Schizosaccharomyces pombe: one gene and its partner. The protein of the gene in region 2 purifies or fractionates together with the protein of the main gene of each other region. This does not show direct contact. Each region holds a gene or a part of one and is shown on either strand. Other genes may lie near its edges.

Evidence for each region.
Region 1: the proteins of med7 (region 2) and srb10 purify together in Schizosaccharomyces pombe (affinity purification with western blotting; 3 studies listed by BioGRID, with this or other methods). This does not show direct contact.

The regions. Positions count from the first base shown.
Region 1 is NC_003424.3:1,574,984-1,579,589, reverse strand, and holds srb10 (mediator complex cyclin-dependent protein kinase subunit Srb10), read right to left. Parts: upstream 2,884-4,606; 5' UTR 2,737-2,883; coding exon 1,754-2,736; exon of another isoform or gene 1,689-1,753; coding exon 1,562-1,688; downstream 1-1,561. Other genes in the region: protein Not11, read right to left, coding at 50-547, 606-797, 934-1,098, 1,145-1,276; SCF complex, Cul4-RING and CLRC ubiquitin ligase ligase E3 subunit Rbx1, read right to left, coding at 3,562-3,569, 3,614-3,704, 3,768-3,917, 4,106-4,180. UniProt on the Schizosaccharomyces pombe protein: Catalytic component of the Cdk8 module/Srb8-11 module which is a regulatory module of the Mediator complex that regulates basal RNA polymerase II transcription.
Region 2 is NC_003423.3:4,169,622-4,177,453, reverse strand, and holds med7 (mediator complex subunit Med7), read right to left. Parts: upstream 5,095-7,832; 5' UTR 4,813-5,094; coding exon 4,567-4,812; exon of another isoform or gene 4,501-4,566; coding exon 3,616-4,500; 3' UTR 3,456-3,615; coding exon of another isoform or gene 2,007-3,455; 3' UTR 1,666-2,006; downstream 1-1,665. Other genes in the region: SPOM_SPBC14F5.10C (ubiquitin-protein ligase E3), read left to right, coding at 1-1,202; adenylosuccinate lyase Ade8, read left to right, coding at 2,007-3,455; ubiquitin ligase Doa10, read right to left, coding at 5,969-7,832.

The DNA of each region.
Region 1 (4,606 bases), on a different chromosome or scaffold from region 2:
TCTAAATAGATACGAATAAATAATAGAGTTATACTAACTTTTCAATAACTCAAGGGTTATTTTTTAATGCTTTTACTTTTTGGAATAGCTTAGCTGATTGCGGTAAAGCAACGATGCAAAAGGCCTGAAGATCTAAAAACAATGTGCTCGATAAATACTCAGATAAAGAAGGTATTTCGAATAGTTTGGATATAAATAAAGTCGCAACAGTGGATATTCGTTGCTTTTCTAAATGTGATGTATTGGTAACTTGGTTATGCAAGGATACAAGCATGTGATAAAGAAAAGATTTGCCGTTAAGATCAAATTGAGCAAGGCTTTCTTCTTGTTGCAATAAATAAAGTAAGACTTCTACATTTGAAACTGTAACGGGAATATTAGCAAGAAGCAAGAGAAATTTATCGTTAAACGAGGAATCAGAGTGCTGTAGAAGATGAAGGAAAAAAACTTTACTATAAGAAAGGTTCATCGAAATAAAAGATTCAAGCTGCTTGGAGGCAGGCAAATCAGAATTTGTGTACGTCGTGTTGCTTTGAAGTAAAGAATTCTAAAGCGAAATGTCAGTAGCAATTCCTCGAAAATTGAAAAAAAAAGGATAATCTTACCTGTTCCTCTTCCGTTAGCTCTCTCTCTCCCCCTGAAATCCAAAAAGAATTTAGAAAATTAGAGGAAGACGGTACAAGTTCTTGTTTTTCTAGCCAAGCCTGTAACTCATTCTCTTCAACTAGGGAATCAGCTTCGACTACATCCTGGCTAGTTACAGAAGCGGCAAGCTCAAAAGGAGAAACTTTCAGCAACTATGCATAGTTAGTACCAACAAACAACTTGCATTTGTTATGGCAAAAAAAAAATTCAATCACAAAAGTTTCGTTCGAAAATTGACGTATCGAAACAAAAAAAAATAAACTGCTTTCTTTTTCTCTTTACACATACCTCTGAAATTCTCCCTGAAAGTATTTTAGCTAGCAAATATCTGCGGGGAGGAAAACTACAAGATTGCCAGGTATTAAAAAAGTGACCTAGAAAAGGAATCCATTTTAAAGGTGTTTTCTGATAATAAAACCATATTAAAAAGTCACTAATAAGTGGTATTAAAAGCTATGGCAAGTTAGAGAAAATCCAGTAAAAAATCATAAGTTAGTACATCGCTAGAGTTATCAGCCTCACTCATTAACGTTAGAGCATGTTGAAATTTTTCTAAGTCATTATCGTTAGGCGCTTGATGTAGTAGACCAATTTCTGCAAAGCTAGTGTTTTCCCATTCCTTACCCAACATGGCTGTTGGAATCTTCCCTCTAAAACAATAAGAATAATGAGTCACAACGTGGATGTACTAGCAAAAATGTATGGTTTGAACCATATATTAGAATAGTTGAAAAAAAATTTTAGTATCTCAATGGTCAAAAATATGAATAAATAATCGTGAGTTTTTTAGGTATTCTTAAATAAAACGACGGTGCCCTGCGTAGACAGAATATCAAATATACGTCCAAGAAAAGGCGAAATATTTAATTGAAAATTACAGATAATCTTTTAAATAGCTTAAGGGAAGCATTAACAATCAATTTCCTTTAAAACGTTTACTTTCGGACCTTAGTGAAGTAGATAGTACGCGTTTGGAGGAAACCTCGGAATCATCTTCTGAAATTCTCCTTTCTGGATAATGAATAGGTTGATTTAAAAATGGGCTAAAAAGTGAGTTAGTAAAAGCTTATTTCTTTCGATGATAAATAGGAAAAGGAAGAACACGTACCTAGTGGTCCATAATTTATCGGAAGTAAAAAAAACGTGTTCCAAAGCTTGCTTAGCAGTTATGCGTGATTTTGGATCGTATTGTAGCATTTTCATCAGTAGATCTAACCCTTGCGGATCCCGATTTTTTACGGTTTGATACCACTGAGGAAGCAAATTATTCCAGTAACGAACTTCAAATGATGATAATTGATAGTACTCTGGATAATTTTTGAGACCTGGCCAGCGTTCTTCTGTTGGTGTGCCTAGTAACTCCATTATGCGTAGCATTTGAGTACTCTGAAAAGGAACGACTTTTTTATCTTCCATTTTTATTTCATCTCCTTTGAAAAGAGGAGAAAGAGCAAGCATTTCTCCATAAATACAACCAATTGCCCAAACATCTATTGCTGGGGTATAATCGTGAGCTCCCAAAAGTAGCTCTGGCGCACGATACCAAATAGTAACTACTACACGATCGCTGGAATAAAATGGTAATATGGGATCCCGAATGAGCCTTCCCAGCCCTAGGTCCCCAATTTTTACCTTGCCTGTAGCTGTAATCATTATGTTTGCTGGTTTCAAATCTCGATGCATAATCCAGTTTTCATGTAGGTATGCTACACCATTAATGATCTGCCATAGAATACTTTTTAAAATTGATGGTGGAATTTGTCTTGTTCTAGATCGGCTATGGAAATGAATAATTTGCAACAGATCGTGTTCGGCGTATTCAAAAACCATGCTAATTGTGCCATCTTTGAGTAAAACTTGAACCAAGCTAACTATATTTTCATGCTGAATTTCTCTACACAGCATCATTTCACGAATAGCACTTTGAGAAACGCCGGTTTGTTGAGCATTCGAGCTTACTTGCTTTGACTCAGCTTTGAACTTTTTAATTGCAAACAGTCGTTTATCATTCGAATTAGATGAAACCGCTTTATAAACCTTTCCATAAGTTCCAGATGAGATAAACCCAATAATTTTATAACCGTCTTTCATGCTGAAATGACCCTACCCTATCAAACCTTTAAAGAGATGGATATATACACATTCAATCACATAGGGATGCTTTTTACAGTCTTTATATAAAAAGTATCCGACTTTTTAGTATCACTTAAAAAGTCAGATGAATGTAGGTCTCTCTATAGTGGGAAGTGACGAAGGCGACAGAAACATTAGTATTAGGCGAATAAAGAGTCAAAGTACCACGAATCTTTTTATGCCTACCCACTATTAACGAAAACACCAAGTCTGATAAACTGAAGGTTTTAAACATCAGATGGTAATTTTCATAAAGCTGTTTGTTCTTATTTAAAAGTTAACTGAATTTGTGAATTGATTGGCAAGTATAGAAAATCCGTGCACTACTGAGCTTTTGTATCTCACCACTGACATTCTTCTCGAAAGCAATGATTCGCATTCTGTCATGCGATATGCAGCATAATGTCTGTATGCCTATTCAATTTTAACAATAGCACTTTAGAAGTATGCCATTTCTTTTGATGATTTAAGTAATGTTCTAATTCTTCAAGTGTATACAAAGTAGTGATATAATGTCTTAATTTATATGATGTGTAGTTAAAAACTGTCTGTAGGAAATTTTATTTGACAAGCAATAAAATAAATTGATATATTCGTCCACTATCTGAGTAATTGGAGTAAATAAATATAAATAACAATTCAAAGTCACATGGAAACTTAAACTAGCCACAAGTAGTCATGATTTTAGGAAATTTTAATTGATTCATGTCATTTCATTAATAAAACGCTCTGCTCCATTGAAATATTTTTACCAACAAAAAAGTAAGTACTTAATAAATGTTATTAATGACCTGAGATAAAGTTAGTAAAGTAGGCTCGTCTTAATATACCCTACCATAACGTTGGAACTCCCATTCACGATTGTCCAAAGGACAAACATTCCTAGTGTTTAACCATCTTGAGATGCAGTGAAAGTGAAATGCATGCTTTTGTATTTGTTAAAAACAGTCCTGAGCTAAGAATACGAAAGAAATCGAATTAAAACTTACATTACAAGTTCCCCATGCCACTGTGCACTCTTGAGCAGCAGCAGAATCGGTGTTAGCTTGACACTCAATACATAAGTCCATAATATGATTTCTGCAGATAGCACAGTTATCTACAACAATGTCCCATTGCCATAATGCTACAGCATTCCACTAAATTGAAGGTAAGCAATATGAATCAGAAGAACTCATAAAAAAAGCAAAGAGAGTAAACTAGTACTTAAGTGTATGCTTATTTTAAAATAGCAAATATATCTTTGGGTATTAATTTTCACAGTTTACTTTGCTTTATGGCAAATTTGATACACATGAAGAACATGATCATAAAAATAATGACGAACCTTTTTAATTTCAAATCGAGGAGGTTTTTGTTCAATTTCCACCTCCTTCTTGTCTATTTGCATTTCATCTTCCATTGTGATGAGTAAAATAGAGCAAAGCCGCTACTTCGTTTTAAGATGAGATGTTTAAGCGGTGTGATAAAGGGGGTTGAAAATTGCAGCTTCGCTAAGCAATACTCAAACATAAGATAATTTTTGGAGTAATGTAATAAATTTTGCTAAAACACAAGTATTTAATATAATAAATAATGGATCATGGATCTTTCAATCGCAAAATGCGTACTCAAAAAATGAAGGATGATTATTCATCTGCTGTTTCATGAGTGTTTAGCACTATATCTATTTAGCTACATTAAATTACTCAGTTTGTTTAAATGTGTAAACTTTTAATTCTATGTTACATGATGACAATACAAGTTTCTTAGATATTATTTGTATTATGTGTGCTCGTTAGACATCTATTGAATAAGTTTTGTATATAATATCGAAGTACTGAAGACG
Region 2 (7,832 bases):
TGATTAAAACTACAGAGTTTCAAATTTCTCAGCAGAGTTTGGTACCGCTGGAATTAAAGGAGGAAATTTGTCATGACGATTGTCTTTCTTCGTCACCACCTTGTACTTCTGCATTGACTGAAATTACTCTGCTGCCTCCCACTTTTCATAACTTAATACCTTCCTCATCTTCTTATGAGACTGCAGTAGCTGAATTTTTACATATGGAGGACCTATTACAAGAGAATGTTTCTCGAGAATTGGAATGTCAAATTTGTTTTGGCATGCTTTATGACCCAGTTGTTTCTCCATGTGGACATACATTTTGTGGCCCTTGCCTTATGCAAGCACTAACCCAGTCTCCTCAATGCCCGACTTGTCGTTTTGGGCTCCCATCTCCTGTTGTGTTGGAACATGCGAAAAGCCACTCTATTACCACATTTTTGCGAGATTTTTACCCAGATAATTGGTTAGAACGTCAAAAATCATGGGAAGAAGAAAAGGAACAGGAAAGTTGGCTTCCGTTATTTATTAGCATGCTTGCATATCCCAGAATGCCGACATTCCTTCATATTTTTGAACTGCGATACCACATCATGATCAAAAAATGTCTGGAGACTTCTAAGCGATTTTGTATTGCAATGCCTTTAAGAGCACGAAGTGATGGTCATAATGAGCATCGAGAGCTTCGAAATGCTCGTGGTCAACGTCTTTTTTGTTCTGAGTATGGTACAATTTTAGAAATTATCCAAGTCGAGCCTTTGATCGATGGGAGAAGTCTTGTAGAAGCCCGTGGTTCATATTGTGTTCGTATAATCGATTTTCGAGCTGATGGTTTGTTTCCGAGAGTGAAAATTGAAAAGCACTATGATACTCCTTTGAGAGCCACTCCACTCCAATTTCCTGAGCCTGAATATCTATTAATGTATGGTAATCTAAGTAATGAAGAATTAGTTGAAAGAATAGATGCTTTTTACATGAATGCCCGCCGAACATATGTTCATTGGGTTGTACCTTTAATCGATATAAAAATGGAGGCTAGACAGTCAATTGCTGACTTGTCTTACAAAATCACCAATCTTCTTCCTATCTCAGAGCTTGAGAAAACTCGCATTTTGCAAGTTGACAACCCGACCGATCGACTGGTTTTGGTTCTTATTTGGTTAACTCAACTTCAAGAAAGTTGGTGGTATCGTGTTGGAAGTGCTTGCACCATTGCTTGAGTTTTAATTGTAGTTGAAGTCGCGCGCCCTTTGTATGGGCCATAAAATATAGCCTTTGATTTACTGAAAGGTTATCTCGAAAACGATCAAAATACATCTAATTACCCTATACAAATGAGCACTTAATTCTTGGCATCTGAGAATATCTGGGGTTGATTGTCATGAATATTTCTTTGACCAATTTAAAAACACCCATGCCAATACAGCAAGAATTCTCTTTTTGTTTCACACTTTATTTAATAGTTGATGTTTGCAACTTTTAATATTTATTTTTCTTGATGGTTTTTTGTTTATTACTTTTTCACTGTGAAGATATTTTAATAGTATAATCCAAAATAATTTTGGTTTTCGTTATCTGCTGATGAAGTAGATTTTGGCATTATAGAGAAATTAATTTTCTGCTCTTACTAGTTCACATTTCATATTCACTAGTTTAAGAATACAAGTTTCAATTGACGAAGTGGTCTCTGTCTTTTTCTTACTTAGGCATTGGTTAAAGTAAATTTATAACCCCTTTTGTAATATTGCTAACATATGTGGAAAGGCACCTTTACTCCTCTATACTTGATCTTCAATTGATTTGCTTGGTGGGTTAGGTGAATACTACATATGAAGCATGGAGGCACAATAAATTATCGTTTGATTTTTCATGCGCGTTAACTAATTAATATGGAAATTACAAAATAATAAATCTGATGGTCTTCTCAAGGTGGAGCATTTGTAGAGCACTACTTAGTGTTGGTTCCTCACTGTCCATTCACCACAACAGGTAGAAATTTTTTGGCGAGCTTAAGATTATCGAATATGGAGGATTATGGTTCATATAGTACACCATTGACAGCAAGATATGCTTCTGCTGAAATGTCTCATCTCTTTTCAAGAGAAATGCGTATTAATACTTGGAGACAATTGTGGTTGAATCTCGCCATTGCTGAAAAGCAACTCGGTTTAACTCAAATTACTGATGAAGCTATTGAGCAACTTAAAGCGCATGTCAAAATTACAGCTCCAGAATTTGAAATCGCTGCTAAGGAAGAGAAGCGTCAGAGACACGATGTTATGGCTCACATCTATACATATGGTCTTGCTGCTCCTGCTGCTTCTGGTATTATTCATTTGGGTGCTACTAGCTGTTTTGTAACCGATAATGCTGACTTGATTTTCTTACGCAGCGCCATGGATCTTTTGATCCCTAAGTTAGTCAACGTTATCAATCGTCTTAGCCAGTGGTCTTTGCGATACAAAGACATTCCTACTCTTGGGTTTACACATTATCAACCAGCTCAATTAACTACCGTTGGTAAGCGTGCCACTCTTTGGATTCAAGAGCTTTTATGGGATTTGAGAAATTTTGTAAGAGCTAGAAATGACATTGGTTTCCGTGGTGTCAAGGGTACCACCGGCACTCAGGCTTCCTTCTTAGCCCTTTTTGAGGGCGATCATGCCAAGGTTGAGGAATTGGATAAATTGGTTGCCAAGCTTTCCGGTTTTGATAACGTTTATCCTGTAACCGGCCAAACCTATGATCGTAAGATCGATATTGACGTTTTGCAACCATTAGCTTCTTTCGGTGCTACTGCTCATAAGATTGCAACTGATATCCGTCTCCTTGCTAATTTGAAAGAAGTAGAAGAGCCATTTGAGGCTGGTCAAATTGGCAGTTCTGCTATGGCTTACAAGCGTAATCCAATGCGTTGTGAACGTATTTGTTCTCAAGCTCGTTATATTATGAACTTGATTCCTAATGCTCTTAATACTGCTTCTGTTCAATGGTTTGAGCGTACTTTGGATGATAGCTCTAACCGTCGTTCTCTGTTACCTGAAGCCTTCTTGTTTACAGATAGCGTTCTTAAGATTCTATTGAACGTTATTTCTGGTATGGTCATTTATCCTAAGGTTATTCAAAAACACATTCGTGCTGAATTGCCCTTCATGGCCACTGAAAACATTATCATGGCTATGACTAAGCACGGTGCTAGTCGTCATGAGTGTCACGAGCAGATTCGTGTCTTGTCTCATCAAGCTGGCCGAGTAGTCAAGGAAGAGGGAGGGGATAACGACTTAATTGAGCGTATTAAGAATACTCCTTATTTTGCTCCTATTTATGATGAGCTAGATTCTTTGTTGGATGCATCCACTTTTGTTGGACGTGCTCCCGAGCAGACTGAATCCTTTGTAAATAAGGACGTCTCTCAAGCGCTTGCGCCTTTCAAGAGCATGATCACTGAGGAAAAGGTTGATCTTGCCGTTTAAATATAAATTTTGGTTTGCTTCGTAGTGGATACGAACTTTTTTGATTTGTTTAAAATAGAAAGAATACATTTTTTTCATCGTTAGTATGAATTTTTGTTTGTAAAACAAATATTAAAAGCAGAGGAAATAGCAAAATAACTCTACTAGATAAACCGGTTTATTAGCTAAGATCTCGTTTTATCACGTCTTCCATTAATTCAAGCGATTTTTTTAATTTCTCGTCATTTTTTGAGAACATAGACCTAGACTTTTGCTCATCTTCAGCGCCTGACAATGGCTTTTTTATTGACGACTTTAATTGTTGAATCACATCTCCTTCCTTCTCCATATTAAAATCTAATGATTTGTACTTTTCCAAAGTTTCGGTCATTTGCCGGTTATGAGTACGTAATAGCTCAACCTGCGACTCTTCATGTTTTAATTGTTTTTCTAAAAGCATAATTAAAGATTCACGAGATTGGTGTGGACGATAGTCATTAATTAAATGATGGAGATTGAGCAGCAACACCCTAATGTTTTCAACCTTAGAAGGAAACTGTTCGGGTGCCTTCGCCATAATCCCTAGGAGTTCAAGAAAGTTAAGCATAAGTGAGCGGGATAAAAATCGTAGTTCATAAGCTCGCCGGGGAATTTTTATCAAATCACTCGTTTCTCCATCCTTTGATTTTTGATCTGCCCGGAAACCTTCGTTTACCGAAGAAGCTGAAACAGCTCCAGTATCTTGAGAATCTAAAGGTTCCTTCATTTGTATATCCTCCTCTTCCTTTTTAAGAGAGGGCTCAGTCTTTTCCTCGACATCTTTCATTGTCTTATCAGATTCATTATCTTTTTCTTTCATGGCCGTATGTTGATCATCCTCCAGAATTTTTTCATTTTCAATTGGTGAATTTTTATCATAATCGTGTACACGAGTAAAACTAGTACCAACTATCGCATTGGATTTAGGATCATATTCTACCACTTCAATTTCATCTTCTCCATCTTTTATATCTTTATATAATTCAGGGATTCCAAATTCTTTGAGTGAAGGTATAGCTTCGTCTAGCTATAAGCGATATAAGTTAGTGAGAGATGAAAAGCAGCTAATGTAAAACAATAAAAATAAACTTACCCTCCATGTGTCACCAAACATTTGATAAGTCCCAGATGTGAGACATGACGGCTTCTTAAACAGCTTGGCCAGCGACTCTATTTCTTCTTCAGTCTTAGGTTGTAAAGTATTCGCGTCATCCTCATGTTTTGCTTCTTTCTCCATATTTGAAATTACTTTTTCTATGTTTTCTCTTGTAAATAACTTATAATATGGAGGTGGAGGCGGAAAAGCCGAAAACAGTTGTACTCCTTCGTTTGGTTCCATTCTCTTTTAGTTAAATAGTATTTATCGTAAACTAGATTTTAGATTGATGTAACTGTCTTCCCTTTTATCGCTGATTCTTAGTATAAAAATGCCTGCTCTTTTTTTTTCTTTTTTTTTTTAGAAAAGCAGTTTCTATAATGTTAAGAAAACCGTAATTGAACAACGATATGACGCTCAATAACTGATTGACATGAAAATCCTGAATATAAAAACACTTGAAAATAACCGATCTTTTGCTCAAAATGGATTTTGGAATAGTCAGTAAAAGTGGGTAGTTTTATCTGGCATATGGAATACGAAGTGAAAGCTTCTATCACCAATAAATTTTGCTATAAATTGTTTATTTCGATATCTTTAATCATTCTTGGTTTTAAATTAGTTTCACTGATTAAAGTAGCTTAAAATTATACACTTCTTGGCTTTTTTAATTTTTAGAGAATTGCAGTGTTTCTTTTAACAACACTGAATTATTCTTTTTAATAAATGGGCTTGGAAACGAATTAAGTAGGAGTTTATTACTTGTAATATTACAGCTTATCGCTATTGTTGAATGCCATAAAATCCTTAACATGAATATTTTACTAGGCCAACATAATCGTAAAATTTAAATTGATTAAGTGATAAAGTATTTTGATATTCCTCTATACGAAGGATTAGTTAGTATTGAATGGATTACAAAATCAACACATGCAATACTACGAACTTTTACATTTTCATAAATTTGTCACATAACCGTAGTAAACATATTTGTTATAACTGTTTCTTTTTAGTAATTAACTAATTTATCCATTGCTAGTGATTGTCTGCAAATTTTCGCTGCTACGGTTTGATACAGTCATCAGATACATCAAAGAAATTCAACGATAATTGATATTTGTTCAATTTTGTAAAGAAAATTAAATAAATAGCACCATATCATGATAATACCAGTTACGATAAATTGGATAAGATGCCTGGCAATATAACAATAACAAACCAATTGTTCAAACGATGACTTTTTGTAATTTCCTGCAACTAAACTAACAGTTTCGTAGCAATTAAAACAAAAACATCATTCAAATAATATACATTCACAATGCTCTATATTACTTCAGATGTCCTCGCTCCAGTTTTCCAAAGAGAAGGATAATCTGAAAAATAGTAGATGACTAGACTTTTATTTTTCGGCAGACTCAGAAATGGCTGGAGGAGCAGATTCGCCAAAGTTGTGCAGTCTCGTACCAACTAAGTATAAATCATCACGTATTCCTTGCGACCATTTACTACTAGTTTCTACAAAACGGCGCCCCAAGAGTGCTAGCCCAAGTAATGCTAAAAATATAGGATGCATCAACCGATACATAAGGGTTTTAGATGCAGAAGGGAAAATGGATGAAAGAAAAGGATAGGTTACGTAAGTAAAAACACTTGGCAACACAACGGCGGCTATTAAGGCTGATGTAAAAGGGATGAGAACATTTTTTAATAATGGAAGAATTTGAGGATTCGTCCATCTATCACGAAAAGCATCTTGAAACAACCTTGAAACGAAACGCTCTTCATTAGAAGTCACAGTAAAATATATCATACGAAGCATAAAAAGACCAATCACCCAGTTTTGGAATGCATCGAGAGCAAGAGTCCCTCTGTTAAATATCGTTCGGAAAGGTATAGCGACGTATAATTCCCATATAGCTCCAAGTAAGAGTGGTAAGATAAATATTCCAAGGAATGCTAATAAAAGATATTTTAACGCCATTACTAAGCTCCTCATAACAATTTTTAAATTTAGTTTATTCATAAGGCTTCGTAAATAGTCAAGTTTCAGAAACTTAACAGACGCGTGAATTGCATACATTGGAAAAGAAATAGAGTAAAATCCAATGGCGTAAGCATAAAAATCGTGCTTTACCACATTAGGAAAGCACCAAGCATAAATAGCTCTTCCTAATGAAAGTGGAACAAACACTAACAATACTGTCACAAGTGTTGAGCATATCCAACAAAATAACAACAAAGCGATCAAACGCTTATAAAAATTAGAAGGTGCATAAGTAATGGTATAGTCCGCATTTTCTTCGACCTTCTTTTTTTCACCAAAAATTTCATAACCATTTTCTGTCACAGGTATAAGCATGGCTCCTTGGCGAACTGGCACAACATCCTTAGAAGGACACCACAAAAAGAAACCGTCTTGGACAAAGTCTTTCTTTGCTTTCTGCTTATCACCATCATCTTGGTTTTCGGTATCCGAAGGTTTGCTTATAATCCTTCTAAGAAAAGAAAAATATTGCTTGGGATAATAACCCTCTTCATCACTATACCTTTGACCCATAACATATGATGATAGACGTAAACATCTGCAGAATGTTGACACCAAAGTTCGCCAAAAACTTCTAGTGAGTTCGAGAGGTTTAAATAATTTAATACTTAAAAATATGAGAATTTCTAACGCTAACAAGTCAATTGGTGCTTCAAACACAGCAGGCTTAGTAGTGAATTCAATAGGAAAAATTATTCCAGTTGACTTTAAAAGATGGATAACGCTACCAACACAGCCAATAATAAAAGCGAAATAGAGTATTGCACTGAATCCAATTTTCTTCAATTGAAAGAGCATAGGTTTCTCTAAAATTTCACGAATTGGATGAAATTGAGGATCATTTGGATCACGCAAAAAATACAGGACTCCAGGACGAACAATTTTACGTACCATGGAAATGAAAACCGCAAACTCAAACATAAATGTTATCCCAATGAACCATGCCAAAAAAATGCTTTGTGCTGGATAAACTGTCATTACATTGAGAAGATTCTCGGCAGCAAGCTTTTTGAAAGTGCCAATTAAGCACATGCTTAGCAATATCCCGCAGAAAATAGGAAAAACAACCAATTCGATAGAAAAAATTATTCCGAATTTTGCTATAGATCCGCATTGTCTCAAAACTTCTCTAAAAGCTAATTCCACATTCCTGATTTGAGGGTCATTAAATAGAAATTGTTTGCGATTAAGATATGAAATCCCTAAAAACGTAAACATG